Linked DNA regions of Astyanax mexicanus. The protein of the gene in region 3 interacts with the protein of the main gene of each other region in a biochemical or structural test. Links are inferred from orthologs where the notes say so. Each region holds a gene or a part of one and is shown on either strand. Other genes may lie near its edges. The genes, in order: ATR-interacting protein, rpa1 and atr.

Region 1 (6,329 bases), on a different chromosome or scaffold from region 3:
TTACTCCGCATTTCATTCATCTCGGCTTCTTTAAAGTGCAACTCTGACTGCAGGGACTCCACCTGGAAAAGACATGGGAGGAGACAAATGTTGAAACTTAAAATGCTCCCTCAATCTGTACAAACCACAGTGTTTTTCTTTTAATCACAAAACAAATGTGTCAAACGAAAGTTCGGGACACGTTTTATTCTGTATGTTTCATGGCTGACTGCAAAGCAAAAAACTTATTAAACACCTGTTCATATAAACAGTTGGTTATGAATTAAATGCACTGACAAATTGTGTGACATCCCTTTAATTTCTCTGATGATCAATACAGGAAAGCACAAAAACACTGCTAACGGACCTATCACGGGAGCCCCTCCCACTAGTTCCTGACAGTAGCCAGCCAGGTTTGAGATTCCTGCAGCCGGCAATTTATGAAACTTCGGAAATCATGAGGCAGAGTTATCCATCAGGAAGCCAGAAAAAAGGAGAGAAAGTACAAATGGTGTGATGACATTTTGGGGCCTTCAAATGCCTTGAAACGGCTCTGTATATCCGATTACCCACATTCATGTAAATGCACTGATTGGATTGCTGAAAAACTCTGATGTTCTTCCTTAATCAAATTATGCATGGGTGATCCAAGATATTTGTTCACTTATAATTAAAAATCATAATCAATGATCAAAAACTAAAAAAAATTATTTACCTTCTTGGAAAGTTCCTTCTCTTTCTCACTCTGCACATTGGCTCTTTCCCTTTCCAACGCAACATTAGCCTGTCTCTGCTGCTCCTTCTCCTGATTAGCCAGTTTAAGCGAGTCTCGCAAGACCCTAATCTCACCATTCTTCATTAAGATCTGGTCCTCCACCTCCTTTAGCTGCATTAAACACAACAATTAAACACACACAATAGGTACTGATTTATAAAAGTACATAAATTATGCCAAAAAGTACACACAGAGGCTTTCAATCAATTATGTATATTAATCACAATGGCATCGATTAATGTTCAAATACCTTTCTCTTTAACTCTGCTTGTTGAGCCTCCAGTCTGCTGTAATCCAGCTCATCTCTGTCTTTAGACAACTGACCATTTCCTTCAAAACAAAGAAAACGCTGAGTATTCTGGAGTATGTTATTACAACAGTATTTATAATACTGTGACCATAGTGATCAGGGCATCCATGCACAAAAAACAAAAACAAACAAACGAAAAAAAAACGTATGGCCTATTATGACAATTACATCATCATAATTTCGGCTGACATTAATTTTGCACATTTGTTATCTTAGAAAATGAGCAGTAATTTTGTAAATTAAACAGCTGATCCCGTTTAATAGGATGCTGAATACTGAAAAACTGAGCCAATCACATTCTCATTTTCAACTCCCCTAACACTGCCTAGCCAATTACAGCTGCTGCAAACAGTCAGCAAATAGATGGTCATCCTGTTAAATGTGGATGTTTAAACTTCTGTTCATTGCTGAGAAAATACTACATTTGTTACATTATGTGAAATATTTGCCAATCAAATAAAAGTGGAAATAAAAATAAAAAGCCTTCTGTTATATGTTTTATTTCATTTTATTTTATTTATCTATTTAAATTGTTCACAATAAGTAATGATATAGGTTCTACAGTCGCATAAGTGTTTTTATAAAGTTGTATTATTTCTACACATACACATAAAAAAATTAAGAAATGAATAAGTAATTAATTTTAAAAAAGTGTGCTCAGGTGCTTTGTGGGCTTGCCCACAGTGATGTCAGTCCAAAATCTTTAAAATGCTTACCAAACTTTTTCCTAACACTGTAAAACCCTTCCACACACACATGCACACACCCCTGGGCTGTGATCCAGCATTTTCCAAAGTAATAGATATGGTTTACTGATATTCTTGTGATGGTAAATGCAATACATTTCTCACAGAAATGTACTTCTTTCCTAGCAAAGCAGAGTCTGTTGATGCAGCAAAGGGGGACAATCTACCTTTTATTTCTCTTGATTTCAGTAGAAACACTGGGTAACCAGGTGTCTAACATTTGGAGATATGGTGAATACAGTATGTGCATACTGGATTTCTGTGTTTTTTATACTAACCGAATGAATCATGGCGCTGGCGCTCCATATTGTTATACATGCTGCTGGTGCTTGAGCTGCTGCTGCTCCCGATGGCAAAAGTCTTTCTGCCCTGCTTTACGGGGGCTTTGCTCTGCTCTGCTGGATGTGATGAAATGGATGCAAATGTCCTTTTCGTACTTGTAAGGTGACCATCTCCTGTAATAGCCTGCGATGCTATAATATCAATCTCTTCCAGGTTATCCTGTGTAAAGTCCTCATCATCCCCAAAGGGGTCCTGCTCCACTGGAGCTGTGTTCTGTGGGCCTCTGAGGCGTTTGCTTGGAGGATACTCCATGTCATTGGAAGCTTCTGTGGAAATTGAAAGAACATGTTGAATGTAGTACATTTTAAAGCAATAGAGGTCTGTCAAATATCCAAAAAGATTTTGCAAATATCAAGCAAACAGCTAATATGTGGCAATATAGACGCTGCTCCAAAAATAAAGGAAACAGTAAAACAGAACAGTCTAACTTAAAATCAACCATTGAGAAAACAATCAAATTCACTTGCTGTTGTGCAAATATAACAGACAACAGGTAGAAATAAGAAGCAATTAGTAAGACAACCTCTATAAAGTAGTGGTTCTGAAGGTGGCAACTACACACCTTTTCTCTGTTCTCATGCTTTCTGGGTGATGTTTTGGTCATTTTTGCATTTTTGTTAGTGCGCTCACCCTAGAGGAAGTAGTTTGCTCAGGTAGTGCAGCTCATGTAGGATGGCACAACAACGCGAGCTGTTAAAAGAAGGTTTGCTGTGTCTGTCAGCACAGTGTCCAGAGCATGGAGCAGATACCAGAATATGCGGGGTGACTGGCATTTGCCAGAAAACGCCAAGATTAACAGATTTGTTATTGGCTCTTGAGATGCCATGGAGAATGTTCTGCTGCTGCATCATCCTCCAGCATGACTGGTTTGGCAGTGGGTCAGTAATGGCGTGGGGAGGAATTTTTTTGGAAGGCCGCACAGCTAGCCAGAGGTACCCAGACTGCCATTAGGTACAGGGATGAGATCCATATGATGAAAAGATTTTCAACTGAAATATTTCATTAATTGAGATCTAGGATGTGTTATCTTAGTGTTTCCTTTATTTTTGAGCAGTGTATATTGTTATTGTGAGGCATTACATCACAATACACTTTTTTTTATTTAATGTAGATATTGTCAGTACTACAGTAAATTTGTCCTGCTTAACTGCATCACAGTATGCAAAATATGAATAAGACTTCACTGTGTTCAAAGTATTTGAAGTATTTTGACATTACTAGTTATTTAATTAGTTATTTAATTTGTTTCAACTGCCTAGATGTTAGTTTAAACAAATATGTAAGTGATTTCTTGTTTTTTTGTTTTTTTTTTATTAAACCTTTAATTTCACCTGGCGTGTCATTAAAAACGTATAGTTCTTATTTACAATAATGGCACATAAAAACTGTAAAAGTAAATGCATAAGCCCATCAAACATTTACTTGCATTGGTTAAGCTATATTCAGTCCTATTCACAGTCCAACTGTCCATTCCACCTTAAAAAAATACATGTGCCTAAATAAAACTGCTGCACTTTTTAAGGTGGACTGAGAAGTTTCAACAAATTTCAGATAAAAAAGGGTCAAAGGTGATTTTATAATGGTTAACTACCAAACCTTATTAAATATGTTAACCTCTCTCTAATATCTCTAATATCTCCAGTTAAGGAAAGGAGAATAAATTGATACTATTGTCTTTTTGTGGGACTCATAACACATGCTATGCTAGCTAACGCTAACTGACCTAGCTAAGCTCACAGACAGAAAGCAGCGCGGAGAGTCGCCAAGTTTAACAGGAGTAAGAGGAGATAAAATACTGTATAATAAAGCTGTTAGATAAGTTCAGTGTAATGTGTATTAGTTACTTACTGAGACAGAGGCGCAGGTTAATTCGGAGCGGGTTAGCCTGTAGCTAACAGTGAGAGTACAGCAGCGGCTAACTCCAGCTCTAGTAAAACCAGCATTTTACTGCGCGAGTCTGGGTTCACATCTGCAGATGTAGTTTATAACAGAAAGCCGGGTTCGGACCGGCCATACTGGACAACGGCTGAAAGCTCTCTAAAGCAGCAGGTTCAGAAAAACTAGCTGAACTTCAGCGGATGAATATCTCTGAGGGAGAAGGCGCCGCTTGTTTCGAGCGCAGTCAAGCATGGACGCTGTTGATTGGTCAATTCCGCAGTCTCCAGCAATGATGCAGGAAAATCGGCTAATCTAATTGGTCAGTGCACGGAGGGTCAGTATAACATTTATTATCAGTTTAATTTTCTGACCATTTGAAGTTAAATACTCGAAATGTGTGTGTAAATCTCAAATATATTTTTTATTTTTTTCTATTTAAAATAGTAAAGAAAAATATGTATCTATTATTTAATTTTCAAGCATTTTTTGTGTTTCGGAAACAATTTTACAAATTTTTTAGGAGAATTTGATATTTTCTCAATTTTAAGATTTTTCCATTTTTACATCTTGTATCAAATGTAATGATATAACTCAAATTACTTTTGTTGCAAGAAAATAAAGAAAATATACATTTTACCTGATTACAGATACATACATCTGATTCTGCAGGTGCACAAGAAGAAGAAACAAATTAAAGAAAATTGGGAAATGGACAAAACCCATTTCTTCTACACTTAAAGAAATAATGAAGTTTTACACCCAATTATCTGTTTTCTGATTTAGCCCGAACATTTTAACTTAGAAATGGTACACTGACCACAGAGAAACTCAGAAACATGCATAGTAGTTTTGTGACAACACACGTGGGCAGTCATTGCTGCGGCACCTTGGAAACAATGAGGGTTAAGGACTTTCCTCAAGGGCCCAACAGTAGTGGCCTGCAAAACACAGGTATCAAACCCACAACCTTGTTGTCAATTCACTCACCCATGCAAATCAATGAACTCATGTTTCAATCATTTCCATGGCCGCAGGTGTATACACCAAGCATCCATAGGCATTTTAGGCATCCATATGATGTCACCTCTGCAACAAGCGCAGTCATAAAATTTCCTCACGACTAAATATTCCACAGTCAACTGTCAGTGTTATAATAAAGTGGAAGCGACTGGAAACAGCAGCTCACTCTGTCAACATAAAATAACAGAACAGGGCCAGCAGATTTTCTGCAGAATCAGCCACTATAGACCGCCAAACTCCATGTGGTCTTCAGATTAGCTAGAGAAGAGTAGCACATAAAGAGCTTAATGCAATGGGTTTTAATGGCTCTAAAAAAAACTAGTTCGTTTTGTTTAGTTGAGGGGACAATTAATACAATTCAGTAAAAAATTCTCTATATATTCACTATTTTTATGAGATGATACACAATACAACATATTAGGGGCTTCATCAGGGGCAATATAGTTAAGCAAAATTAACAAAACTGTTAAAAACAAACTGTTCAAAGCTGTCACTGGTCTTTAATTTTTAATGTTTTAATGTTAATGGATGCCCATTTACCTAAATAGACAGATGAGACAGATGTGCACATATACATATTTTTACAGTCTATTTTTTTTTTTTACAGCAGTTTTGATTTTGGCCATTTGTTTTATTTATAAATTATCAGTGTTTGGCCTTGATAATACTAGGGAAAATAATGGGGAACAATCACAACAATGTCATCATTTAGTGATTTAATGAAACACCTCATACAGAAATTACACATAACTGAGAATAAATCACTTTTTTAAAAAGAAATGAGCTTATATAACGTGTTAAGAAATACATAATACATTTTGGTTTGTCCTGCGTTGTTCATTATTATTATTATTATTATTATTATTATTATTATTATTATTATTATTATTATTATTATTATTATTATTATTATTATTATTATGCAGGTAATAGTCAATGAATGAGAGAGCTGTGTGTAAATACACCGTGTTTGTGACGCGGTTGGCTTCGGCGGCAGCTGATTGGTGGAGGCGCTGCTGTAGCGCTCGCGGTGTTTACCAGCTGAGCAGCTCCAGCAGTGTGGCAGTTGGTCTGTGGAGGGACGGGGAGAAGTTTTAGATCGATAAAAAGTCGATAATTTGCACTTTTCCGTGGTTTTAGCGGTCAAAGGGTTACACCGGGAAAAGCAGGAGCTTCTCTACAGCGCAGCTGGATGAGCGGGAATCTGTAAGTGCTGTTTTAGCGCCGTTTTCTCTTCGTGTTTTGAACAAAGGAAAATCTGCCAGCAGCAGCAACAGCA
Region 2 (6,329 bases), on a different chromosome or scaffold from region 3:
CCCGCAGCGAAAACCTGGATCAATAGATATTTCAGATTATCACAGACAGTAACAATATCTATGTGTCTCCGTTGTAATAAACTAAACACACACATTCGACAGTATTCTGAATAATCAGCACTCCACAGTGCTGTCGTTATGTTAAAAAGGTACATTAATGTTAATCTCATTGATTTGTTATAAGTTAAATTAACCCGCTCACCGCTCTAAAACCCTCCACCTGCTTTTTGGGCGAGGGTAACGTAGCGCTAAGTGCGCTGTTTCACATTAAAAGTCTGTGCTAATTTCCGTGCTCTGCGTTTTAAAATTAATTAAACAATTCCTCGAGGCACAGAAAATTAATCGATCAACTTTTTACAACACAGTAACTTCAAAGCAAAGGATGAGCCCTTACCGCCCATCCTTAAGGACGTTGGTGACACTTCTCTTCACTGTACAGACACAGTTTGGAGCTACCAGACTTTGCTCAGCCAGGTAGTTCAGCTGTGTGGAGAGCATGAAGGCTGCAAACAACAGAGAAATATTAGAGATATCAAGTAAGAAAACAAAAAGAATAGAACACCTGCACAGCTTTTTTTTCATGAATATATGAAAATTGGTAACATTCCTATGTTATCTCTTCAGCCTGGCTGGGTCTGGGGGTAGAGGCAATTTAAATGCACCACAACAGTGCTTCTTAATGCACAAGAAAATTGCTCTATAACTTATTCATAAGGTTTCGTGCCATCAACACTTTTACATCTCAGTAAATTAAAAGCAGGAAAGGGTATTGTTTTCATGGGGTTCTCTCTCTACTCTTTGATCACTTCAAGCCCAATCACTCCACAGCAGCCCTACTACCTCCTGATACATTGATCTCTGCAGCACCATGCACAACACATGTTGCTGTCCTAAAAATACTGCTAATACCATCCAGGTCTTTTTTACATAAACTACTCCCTTACATTAAAAGGTTTATGTCACAATTATTGGCATTACTGTGGTGCTCGCACATAAGGGGCCAGTTTGGACCAGTTTTCTCTGTAAAGCTGCTTTGTGATAACTTTTGTTGTAAAAAGCGCTATATAAATAAACCTGAATTAAATTGAATTAATTGAACATAGGCATGTCTTAAAGCTGGGAACATATGTAATACAAGTGACCCTGATCACATATCTGGATTTTTATTTTCCTTTAAAAGAGAATTTTGACTACATATAAACACCATTACTGGCAACTAATTTAACAAATTTAACAACAAATTTAGCTTTTTTTTGAAAATGAGGCTTAGTTTTTTTTTTTTTTTTTTAAATGTCAGAACTAGGGGTGGACGATATGGGGCTAAAATAACAGTGCGATATTTCATGGTATTTTCATGGTATATTTCATGGAATTAAGAAAACATATTTTAAGAGCACACTACTGCAACAAAATGAAATTATGATGTTTTTTATTAGTGCATATGAGCTGATATCGCACACCCCTTACTAAGATATTAAAAGATAGAACATTTTATCTGATTTGTAACATAAATCAGTGATCCAGAATGTCATAAATCTAATAATGCACTGCAAATATCTCCATAAATCCAGGATTAAAGTAAAATAAATGATACTGGACAGATATAATCTGTCTCTAGTAGATAAATAATGGAAAATGAGAACAGTGTACATTTTTCTTTTTACTAAAACCAGCTAGAAAGTAGTACCCTGATGTGATAATTAGGGGTGGATGATATGGCACCATATTTCAGGATATAATATAGTTTACGATATTCAAAAATGTTGGCGATATCACCTATGATACGCCATTCTAGTGCCAAGTAATTTTGTGACTGTATTGTCATACACTGCCTAGGGAGTAATTTTCTCTGCAGTGCTTTGATATCTTACTTGAGTTTCTATTACCTCATACAGATCTAGTATGCTAATGCAAGCATATTAGTCTCTGTGTGGACAAAAATGTTTTGTTTTTTTTAATGGAAGAAGGGTAATACGAGTTTTTAAAAATACCCATGTCTATTTTTCAAGAAAAAAAAATACCCTCTTCAATGAATAACCATATATCAACCATTTCTTCCATTTGTCAAAGGGGTTTAACTTGCAAGCGGAGGAAGTCAACAAATCCATACAGTGTCAGGGTGTTCACAGAGAAGTCAGTTGAGCACCAAACTTAAGTTGTATTAATCTAACCAGCATACCAATAACTGTTTGAAATATATGATCTGTTTTTGTATCCTTATTTACATTTATTCTAAACATTATATAGTGCAATTGTAAGACAACATTTTCATTTAATTGTCATGATTGAAACAGCCACTGAGTCATTTTAAAAACTCAGGCAGTCAAGAAAATTGTTTTGATGGTGAAGTACCTCTTCAATGTTAGGCTCATTATGTTTTGAAAATACCCAGAGATACTCACAAGGATACTCAACAAACACCAATTAAATTCAGATATGAGAAGCATAAGCAATGGATATAAAAATCACAGCACTTTATTATGTAACAGTTTAGTGAATTACTGGATAAACTATGCAAGCTCTAAGGAAAACAGAGTTCTTCAGAGAGATGCCATTAAGATACAATATGATACCTTTACCTAGAACTTTAGATCCAAATGAGGAAGCAAAAATCTATATACATATGCTTTGGTTTCATGTATAAGGTTAAATAGATCCCCTCCAACACACAAACACACACTTACAGGACATAGTATGAAGGCCATCACTCATCATGAGGCGAAAGCGGACTGGTCCACTGCCTCCATCAATCTTTCGGATATTCTGCAGAGAAAAAACAATTTTTATTTCACATACATGAGAATAAGGCTGCAAACCAAAAAAGCTCTAAAATTTGATTCATTTCTCATATTTGTGCAGGCTAAATTTAATATTTAACTAATGATAAAACAGGTTTATATTGAATCCTTTCATAAGCCAAAAACATTTATATTTGGATACCTACTAAACCTGTTTTGATGTCATCTGAGAATGATTTATGCCTGTCACATCATCAGTTTTATTTTGTTTTATAAATGTTATATTTAAATGCTGATGGTCTGTAAAAGAACGCTACTGCATTCTATTATATTTTTTCAGTAAAACAAACTTGGCTTACAATAAGATTGACAGGCCATAATTTTTCCTTAAAATCAAGAGAAGTAACAAGTGAAAACATCTAACACTCTCGTAAAAAAAAAAAAAAACACCAGCAGAAAAAAAACATGCAACTGACAGAAGAACTTACAACACATTGAAGCACTGGGTTTGAAACCTCACTACCTTTGATCAGGAGCTGAAATGATAGAACACACACAGTTAAGAAAAATACATACAAATACACAAAATAAAGTCTAATGAAATTTCTAAAAAATTGTCTTTCTGAGCTGAGTTTCCTTCAACTGACAGTTTTTAAAATCCATTAAAAAAACATCTAAAATACAAAGAAGTCCACCCAAAGAAAATATTTCTAAGGCATTCTATGGAGTTTGTCCAGATTGATTTAACTTAGTGACAGTCTATAGGTTTTTGGTGCGAAATAGTAATTGCACATAAGATGCTAAAAAGTACATTTAAAACATTTGATGGAACAAGTTTTTTTTTTTTTAAGGGGTGAAAAAATCTAAGTGTTGCAAAATCTACACGTTCACGGCTGCAAATAAATCTTTGTTGGAAATAATAAGAACTTTGTTATGATCAGAAAACCAATATTTTTCTTACACAGACAAATAAACAACAACTATAAGTCACACATTACAATAACAGGGAGAAACCACGAGTTCACGTTCAGAGAAAAGCATTTTCTTCTTATGTTGACCTTACACCTAACGATTTTCAAGTGATTTCAATGTCGCAGACACATTTCCAGAGTCGAAATAAAATCACGAGATGACAAATCAGAGTACTGATTTAACTTACACATTATGTGTAGCTTAATGTCACAAGTATTGTATGTAAACTCCACCAGAAGCATGATGGGAAATATTCTCAGATAATAATCTGAGCCTGTAATTAAAACGTCTTGTCTTTAGATGTGAGAGGGTGTCAGATTTTAGTCTGTTAAAAGTCTTTTTTTTTTTTAAGAGTTTTTTTTTCAACGTCGTGTAACTTAGTGTATGGACAGCATTAGAACCCCTTTTTCTTTAGGACGACAGGTTTGCAGTTCGGTGATTTCCCAGCGCACACGCGCCTCCTAGATCTGAATAATTGAATAGTTAAAAGTTTGGATTAGCTAAACTAGCTTAATTGTATTTACGAAGGGAAAACGGTGATTTAACCGAAAAGGCCACGCCGTTTGAATGACAACAGAACCGTTCCACCTTAAACTGTGCAGCGCCTGGACACCGTTTAAGGTGGAATAGACAATCCAAATAAAAATCGTTGGCGTACGGAAAGATTTTTCTACATATCCCATCATAACATGTACTCTTTAGAGCAGATTTTTTTCAGCATTCTCTACTTTACTGAGACACAGATTTCTCTAAATCACTAAGTTAGGTCGCCTGTTAGCTTTAGCTTTAGCTCCAGTTGCCGTTACTGAGCTGCTAGAACTACTTAGCGTTAGTTATTTAGCCAGGCTGACTCTGCGCTGCTCTCGGCCTTCTTATTTAACAGCTCTCACACTACGCTTTTACCCCTCTCGTTTACCCGGTACACACCTCTATAGCTCCTTCTGACAGTGTAACAGTCATGGCTGCGAGCTGGAGGAGAAATATCGGGGTTTAATATAAATTCTCAGCCGCTCCGCTCCCGCTCCGTGTTGTTGTTCTGAGTCGTGGCGCCAACTTTCAGTGTAAGCGCGCGCTCCGGCTTCTTGCATCACTTCCGCTGAAGGGTCGAAGGAGGAGGTCTTTTCCCCCCCAGTGACTACAGAGACTAGCATGTATACAGAGTTTTTAACACATATAACTATATAGTTTCTCTCTTATTTAGGGTATTTTAGGGTTAGCTAAAATGCTTAGGACTTTTATTCTAAAATAAATAAATATATTTACATCATAAAAATAATAGCTAATAAAAATTAAACCATTCGTCCTTTTTTATTATTATTTTTTACTCACTTTAAAGGAAGCCTTTTACGACAGCGTTTTAAAGCCACTCTTAAAATAATAAAAAAAACGGACTTCAAAAATATTAATAATATTACAAGAATAAACTTGCAACATTTCGCAAATAAAGTCGCAATATTTCGCAAATAAAGTAGTAAAATTCATACTTCTAGAATAAACTTATTTTTCAAAAAATAAGTTTGTAATATTTTGCACTTAAAGTAGTAATATTAAGAGAATAAAGGCGTACTATTTTGAAAATGAACACATAATATTTCAAGAATAAACTTATATTTAAAAAATAAACTCAATATTTTGCAAATAAAGTAGTAATATACGAATAAGCTTATATTTTGAAAATAAACTCATACTTCTACAATAAACTTATTATTTAAAAAAATAAACTCGTAATATTTAGAATAAACTTGTAACATTTTGCAGATAAAGTTGTAATATTTCAAATAAATTCAGAATATTTCTAGAATAAACTTGTAATATTTCGTGATTAAACTCATAATATTTCGAGATTTTAAAAAAATATTTTGAGAATAAACTATTGAGGATAAAGTAATTTATTTTAACACGAGGAGATTACTATATCGATTTGCAAACTCTTCGATCATAATAATGCAACTTTCCTGATTGCAATACAACTTTAATCTTAAAATATTATGACTTTATTCTCGAAATCAACTCTTTATTTTTTTACGCCATCATATGCTTCATACGCTTTAGTTAAACAGACAGAACAATTATTTCAATTAAGAAAACTTTTTTGAAGATTGAGGAAACAATTTATAAAAAAGTAAGGCAACATTTTTCAGCATCTATCATTTTTTTATTTGTAACAATAGAATTGTTTTACCATGATACTCTCTGGGCTCAGTAACAGCAAATTTAGTTGTTGTAGGTACACTATAAGAAAAGTTCCCACCTGTCGCGGAAGTTCAGGGAGTCTCCTACATTTTTAATTTACTCGTTCATTAACTCGTTTAACAACTAGCTGGCTAAGTGTTAAGGAGATACTGTACTCTGTGCACTTCATTGAAATTATGTTATATTTTATATTTTAAGTACAGATTTGAAGGACCTACACCCCCCCCCCTCCCCCCCTGAAATTAGTTTTTTCAGGGTGGGATGTCTGTATATGATTTGTAAAAACAATAGTTTGTTGGAAAAATAAAAAAAATATGAACCACAAACCACCACAATCAAAGAATAATATCTCAATTACCATGGCACAAACTGTTGTTTTATATTAATTGCACTGCATTACTTATTGCAGAAATGAAACAAAAAAAT
Region 3 (6,329 bases):
GATAAACACACCTCGCTAACTCCTGTAGAGCAGGAATCATCGCGGACATCTCCAGCCCCTCCATCCTGACCCGCCCAAAAACACCCAAACCAGCCTAAAAACGCAGTTTATTATCTATAATAATACATACATTATTATTAATAACCCGCGAAACCGCTCGAGTTTACATCTCTGCAGCTCCACCTTCAGAAGCTGCACGCTTAACGGCAGCCGGGCAGGGACATGTCCTGGATTTACGAAACGCGATTTTTCCTTAACCCATTCATTTCCAGCAACAGGGCCGTTATATATAAGGTAGACACCTTAAATTCAGTGTTTTGCATTATTTTAAAATGTTCTGCATTGTAGATTATTACTAAACTCATTCAAACTATGAAGAAAAACTACCTATTTTATTCTATTTTATTTTATTCTATTATATTTTATTCTATTATACTATTATATTTAATCTTTACATGTGATGTAAATGAGAATAAAGTCTCATTGAATCCTATTTAGTAAAGTTATACAGGAACACATGCTGAATTATTTAGTGAACTTAAAACTGTTAAACAAACCAGAATATGTTTTATACTTTAGATTATCATTATTAAAACATATAAATACAGAATTAAGCTTTATCTTTATGAGGTAGAGTCACCTGGAATTTTTTTAAACAGAGATTTCCAACATGACTTGAGCATTTGCTTTCTTTTTATAGCTTTATTTTAACTCTAGAAAGAATGACTTAAATACAATTGTTTAAAACAATTAAACAGTGCTAAATCATTGATTAACCCAATTTAGTTAGCTAAGTAATGATATACAAAAGTTTGGGCGCACCTTTAATGAGTATTAATGAAAACTATGAAGAAACAACATATGCAATTATTTATTAAACTATTAAAAGCTTACTTAACTAAAAAAAAGTATCTCCTCTTGTTTAGATGATGAGTTTTGAACATCTCTGCTGGATTTTCTCAGTCAGTTTTATGAGGTAGAGTCTCCTGGAATTTAGACTTTCAGTTAACAGCTGTGCTGAACTCATCAAAGTTAATTACTTGAATTTCTTGTCTCTTAATAAAGTGTTTGAGAGCATCAGTTAAAGTAAAGTAGTGAAGAGGTAGAGTTACAGGTATACAGTGAATAGTGAATATTTCAGTAATGTTCTAATCCAGATTATGAGAAGCAACAACTACTCAACTAAATAAAGAACAGTGAAGGTCAGTCAATCCGAAAAAAAGAATTTCAAGAATTTTCCAAGAAAGTATCCTCAAGTGCAGTCATCGCAAAAAAAAACACATAAAAATCGGTAAAATGGTGAAACTGGTACTCATCAGGACCGTCCCAGGAAAGGATAGAAGAGCAAGAGTGTCCCCTTAATATATACCCTTTAATATGATATATATATTTATTTTTTCTTCCAAATGTAGAATTGTGTAGAGTTCTGAGCCACATACATATATGTGGCTCAGAACTCTACACAATAATATATATATATATATATATATATATATGTTATTGAATATATATATATATATATATATATATATATATATATATATATATATATATATATATATATATATATATATATTCTAAGCCACAATAAAATTGCTGTAAAGTTATATTTAAAGTTAAACTCCAGCAAAACACCAATCAGAACATCAGAACTGGGACCGCTTAACTGAATTCATACCGGGAAGCAACGGGTTAATGAGCAAACGAGCAGTTGCCCTGGAAACGGGGTGAACGGGAGGCTGCGCTGCGGCTTCCTGACAAAATAAAGGTCTTAAAATAAAAGTCTTAGCGCTTAGCTATCAATGTACTTAATAAATCGAATCTTTTAGAATGGGAATCACAAAACTGGCAGATTTAATTCGGAATGAAGCTCGTAGTTCTGTTTCTCACAAGGAAATCGGAGATTATACCGGTAACACCCGATAAATACAGTTAAATTATGATATATGTTTTTTTGGAACTCTCCGTTCCACCTTAAATGGTGCAGCAGCTGGCGCCAGAACGCCACTGCTGGCTGAAACATTTAAGGTGGAACAGGAAGTTCGAACATGAAGTAGACTTTAGCTTTGTTTGTTTTGTTTTGTTTTTAGCTTTATTTAATTATAGCATTTTAAATCGAATCTTTTAGAATGGGAATCACTAAACTGGCAGATTTAATTCGGAGTGAAGCTCCTGGTTCTATTTCTCACAAGGAAATCGGAGATTACACCGGTAACACCTGATAAATACAGTTAAAACAGACAGATTGCACTTAGCATAGCATAGCTCAGCATAGCTTAGCCTAGCTAAATAATAATAATTAAGTTGGAAAAAGAAAAAATATGCGAAGGACGAAGTAAGCAGTAGGAAGAAAAATGAAATACTAATTTTTTTGTTGGGTCATTTTATTTAGTTTTATACATTTATTTTTCCGTCTATTATTTCTGTGCTTTTATACTGGATATTGTTTTCACAATATTGTTTTCACTGATTGGATTTGTCCTGTTTTAACATGTTTTTCCTCTTTTCTCATTCCCTCAATAAAATCAGTTTCTCTGATTTTGCTATTTATAGGTTTATGTTTGAGTAAAATGAACAATGTTGTTTTATTCTATAAACTACAGACAACATTTCTCCCAAATTCCAAATAAAAATATTCTCATTTAGAGCATTTATTTACAGAAAATGAGAAATTACTGAAATAACAAAAAAGATGCAGAGCTTTCAGACCTCAAATAATGCAAAGAAAACAAGTTCATATTCATAAAGTTTTAAGAGTTCAGAAATAATCAATATTTGGTGGAATAACCCTGGTTTTTAATCACAGGTTTTTTTTCATGCATCTTGGCATCATGTTCTCCTCCACCAGTCTTACACACTGCTTTTGGATAACTTTATGCTGCTTTACTCCTGGTGCAAAAATTCAAGCAGTTCAGTTTGGTGGTTTGATGGTTTGTGATCATCCATCTTCCTCTTGATTATATTCCAGAGGTTTTCAATTTGTTAAAATCAAAGAAAATCATCATTTTTAAGTGCTCTCTTATCCGAAACATTATAATGATAAAACTGGCACTCATCAGAACTGCCCCAGTTAAGGCAGAATTAACAGCATAGCTATTTAGCTATTTCTAACTCTTTAAATCTATCTAGTTAATACATTTCCCAGTATTTCTGAATGAGGGTTCTGATTGTGCTGAAATGCTGATATATGATGTAGATCATTATTTAACTATATATTTAATATCTGTTTTTTATGTGTTTTTTGTGTTGTAGGAAAGGTTATCGCTCTCGATACTTCCATTGTTGTGAACCAGTTTCGCTCAGCTGTGCCCGGTCTGCCATACAGGTGAGAGAACCCTGAATCCCATAATGTTATTATATCATGACTGAGCGAAAAGCATGGACAGGTTCAGGTGGTTAAGGTGGATATGGTTGTTAAGGTGGATAGGGTGGTTAAGATGGTTGACCCGATGGTAAGGTATATTTTTCTGCCCAAACCTGACCAAGCTTATTGATCAGCAAGACCTAAAATCAATAGAAATGTTCTCTATGTTATTTAAAGGGTAACAACCCACCCTGATTTTAGACTCCCCCCTGGATGATGGATGGGTTTACGGGCGGAAACATCATCCTCGCCCATAGCACAGTTGAACCTGAGAGGAGCTGCAGAGGCAGAAATTACCACAATAAAAGCATTTTTAAAGGTTAGGAAAGGTTTATAAAAATGTATGCAGGACTGGTATGTTAATACATGGTTTATATATGAATTACTAGCATACCCAGAAATCAAAGGGACGTTGAATCAACGTTAATTTTTCCATCTCTAATGCATTGAAACAATGTTGATCTCTGACATTTGTGAACATCGATTTTACATTAAATATGTATAATAGTCATTTTTACTTGTACAGTCTCGTAGAAAGCTGGGGCAAATTCTTTTAGCATAATAATAATAATAATGAAAGTTTCTGGGTTGTAATATGGAATGTATTCTTAACATACTACAAATTCATACATTATTTATTAATTATTAATATAAGTGGTTCTAAAGCAGTTATACAGATACAGGAGTTGGATAATGAAACTGAAACACCTGGTTTTAGAGCACAGTAATTGATTGTGGTGACGGACAGTTCTGGTGGAAACAGGAGAGTTGAGGTGAACATTGAATTCTGCGTGATTTGATCAGACGTGGTTTTATGTTTTTTGGATACAATCCGGGTTAGCACCCGAACATCCCTTTCAGACAGCTTCCTCTTACAGCGTCCACAGTTAATCCTGTTGGATGTGGTTAGTTCTTCTTGGTGGTATGCTGACATTACCCTGGATACCGTGGCTCTTGATGCATCACAAAGACTTGCTGTCTTGGTCACAGATGCTCCAGCAAGACGTGCACCAACAATTTGTCCTCTTTTGAACTCTGGTATGTCACCCATAATGTTGTGTGCATTGTAATATTTAGAGCAGAACTGTGCTCTTACCCTGCTAATTGAACCTTCACACTCTGCTCTTACTGGTGCAATGTGCAATTAATGAAGATTGAACACCAGGCTGCTCCAATTTAGACATGAAACCTAAAATCCCACACTAAAATGATGACAGGTGTTTCAGTTTCATTGTCCAACCCCTGTATATACACATTTACTTTAGTCCTAATAATTCAGTTTTCTTCACAGTCCTCTACTCGGCCTGTTCTACCGCACCCTTACTTTCCTTGAACATGACATCAAGCCGGTCTTCGTGTTTGACGGGAAGCCGCCCAATCAGAAGAGAGCTGTGGTGAGAATCAGATTTTTTAAAGTTAAATCGAGAAGTCCTTTTTAATTTTGCAGTAACGCGTAGTTTGTGTTGTGTTAGCTGGAGAAAAGAGCTCAGAGCGCCGGCTGGAACAGCTCCTATCGCTCCAACACCGGTAAGAAGAGCAACACCAGATATTTTATATATATATATACGTATATATATATATATATATATATATATATATATAGATTCTGTGTGTTCAAATATTTTTTCAATTCTAGTGTCCACCAAAACCCAGGAATTCCTCCGTCTCGTGCAGCTGATGGGAATGCCCTTTATCATGGTAACTACACATTTATTTCTTATCTATAACTAAATTTCTCCTGTATTATAGTACTGTATTATAGTCTCTGTGCTCTCTGATTGGTCAGGCTCCTGCAGATGGTGAGGCGCTGTGTGCTCACCTGGTCAGAGGTGGGGTGGTGGACGCTGTGGCCTCTGAGGACATGGACACGCTGGCGTTCGGAGGTACCACCCTTCTACGCCAGCTCAACGCCAAGAGAGACAGGTGAACAACCAGTACAACCATTAATACAGTCTACTATCTGTCCATCTATGGTATCATAATCATAAACGTACATCAGCAGTGCCATTCTAATCATAGAGCAGTACAGAAGTACTATTCTAAACGTACATTTACCTCAGCAGTGCTATTCCATTCAAACATTTACATCAGCACTGCTATTCTAATCATATATTTACCTCAGCAGTGTTATTCCAATCATAAATTTACAATAGCAATGCTATTTTAATCATACATTTACCTCAGTAGCGCTATTCTAATCATACATTTACATCAGCAGATTTATTCTAATTATATATTTACATTAGCAATGCTATTCTAATTATACATTTACATCAGCAATGCTATTCTAATTATACATTTACATCAGCAATGCTATTCTAATTATACATTTACATCAGCAGTGCTATCCTAATCATAAACTTACCTCAGCAGTGATATTCTAATCATACATTTACATCAGCATTGCGATTCTAAGCATAGATTTACCTTAACATTCCTATTCTAATCATACATTTACCTCAGTAGTGATATTCTAATCATACATTCAACTAAGGCAATGCTAGTCTAATCATACATTTTCCTCAGCAGTGCTTCTCTAGTCATATGTAGCTAGATAACTTGGAATGTATATAGAGAAAGAATACGTTAAGGCTACATTACCTTGACTAACTTCACTATGCTAGTCCTGTACAGCTTTGTATCTCTCAGCTTGAAAACAGAAGGTTTGTGAAAAGGTAATAAACTGAGTAAACTGATAAAGTGTGTTAAGTAATGGTGAATACTTTGTTTAGTGTAATTTATGTCAGTAGATTAAAAAATGAACTTAAACCTGCCATATGTCAGCTCTCTCTGACGGCTCTCTCCCTCACTTCCTGTATTGTAAACAGTATTTATTTAAGAATAAAGCTTATAAAAGTCAAATTAAAAGAGGAGTACACCTTTTAAACCATTGTTATGCATTTGCAACATGCGTCTGTTCTGACTCACATTAAATAATTTGAAAATTGTTCTGATTTTTCAGTGA

The links.
Region 1: the proteins of atr (region 3) and ATR-interacting protein form a complex in vitro, tested with the Homo sapiens proteins (4 studies listed by BioGRID and IntAct, with this or other methods). The link is inferred for Astyanax mexicanus from reciprocal best matches to the Homo sapiens genes ATR and ATRIP.
Region 2: the proteins of atr (region 3) and rpa1 form a complex in vitro, tested with the Homo sapiens proteins (2 studies listed by BioGRID, with this or other methods). The link is inferred for Astyanax mexicanus from reciprocal best matches to the Homo sapiens genes ATR and RPA1.

What each region holds. Positions count from the first base shown.
Region 1 is NC_064431.1:12,685,735-12,692,063, reverse strand, and holds the start of ATR-interacting protein, read right to left. Parts: upstream 4,289-6,329; 5' UTR 4,001-4,288; intron 3,074-4,000; exon of another isoform or gene 2,783-3,073; intron 2,419-2,782; 5' UTR 2,405-2,418; coding exon 2,089-2,404; intron 1,085-2,088; coding exon 1,005-1,084; intron 866-1,004; coding exon 695-865; intron 63-694; coding exon 1-62. UniProt on the Homo sapiens protein: Required for checkpoint signaling after DNA damage. Required for ATR expression, possibly by stabilizing the protein.
Region 2 is NC_064425.1:14,363,608-14,369,936, reverse strand, and holds the start of rpa1 (replication protein A 70 kDa DNA-binding subunit), read right to left. Parts: upstream 4,790-6,329; 5' UTR 4,671-4,789; coding exon 4,638-4,670; intron 3,275-4,637; coding exon 3,227-3,274; intron 2,764-3,226; coding exon 2,685-2,763; intron 504-2,684; coding exon 395-503; intron 1-394. UniProt on the Homo sapiens protein: As part of the heterotrimeric replication protein A complex (RPA/RP-A), binds and stabilizes single-stranded DNA intermediates that form during DNA replication or upon DNA stress.
Region 3 is NC_064411.1:57,786,708-57,793,036, reverse strand, and holds the start of atr (serine/threonine-protein kinase ATR), read right to left. Parts: upstream 3,635-6,329; 5' UTR 3,620-3,634; coding exon 3,555-3,619; intron 3,326-3,554; coding exon of another isoform or gene 3,253-3,325; intron 2,212-3,252; coding exon of another isoform or gene 2,130-2,211; exon of another isoform or gene 2,018-2,129; intron 1,913-2,017; coding exon of another isoform or gene 1,831-1,912; exon of another isoform or gene 1,778-1,830; intron 208-1,777; exon of another isoform or gene 65-207; coding exon of another isoform or gene 12-64; intron 1-11. Other genes in the region: zgc:110269 (probable flap endonuclease 1 homolog), read left to right, coding at 2,130-2,211, 3,253-3,325, 4,656-4,758, 4,837-4,891, 5,001-5,062, 5,151-5,287, 6,327-6,329. UniProt on the Homo sapiens protein: Serine/threonine protein kinase which activates checkpoint signaling upon genotoxic stresses such as ionizing radiation (IR), ultraviolet light (UV), or DNA replication stalling, thereby acting as a DNA damage sensor.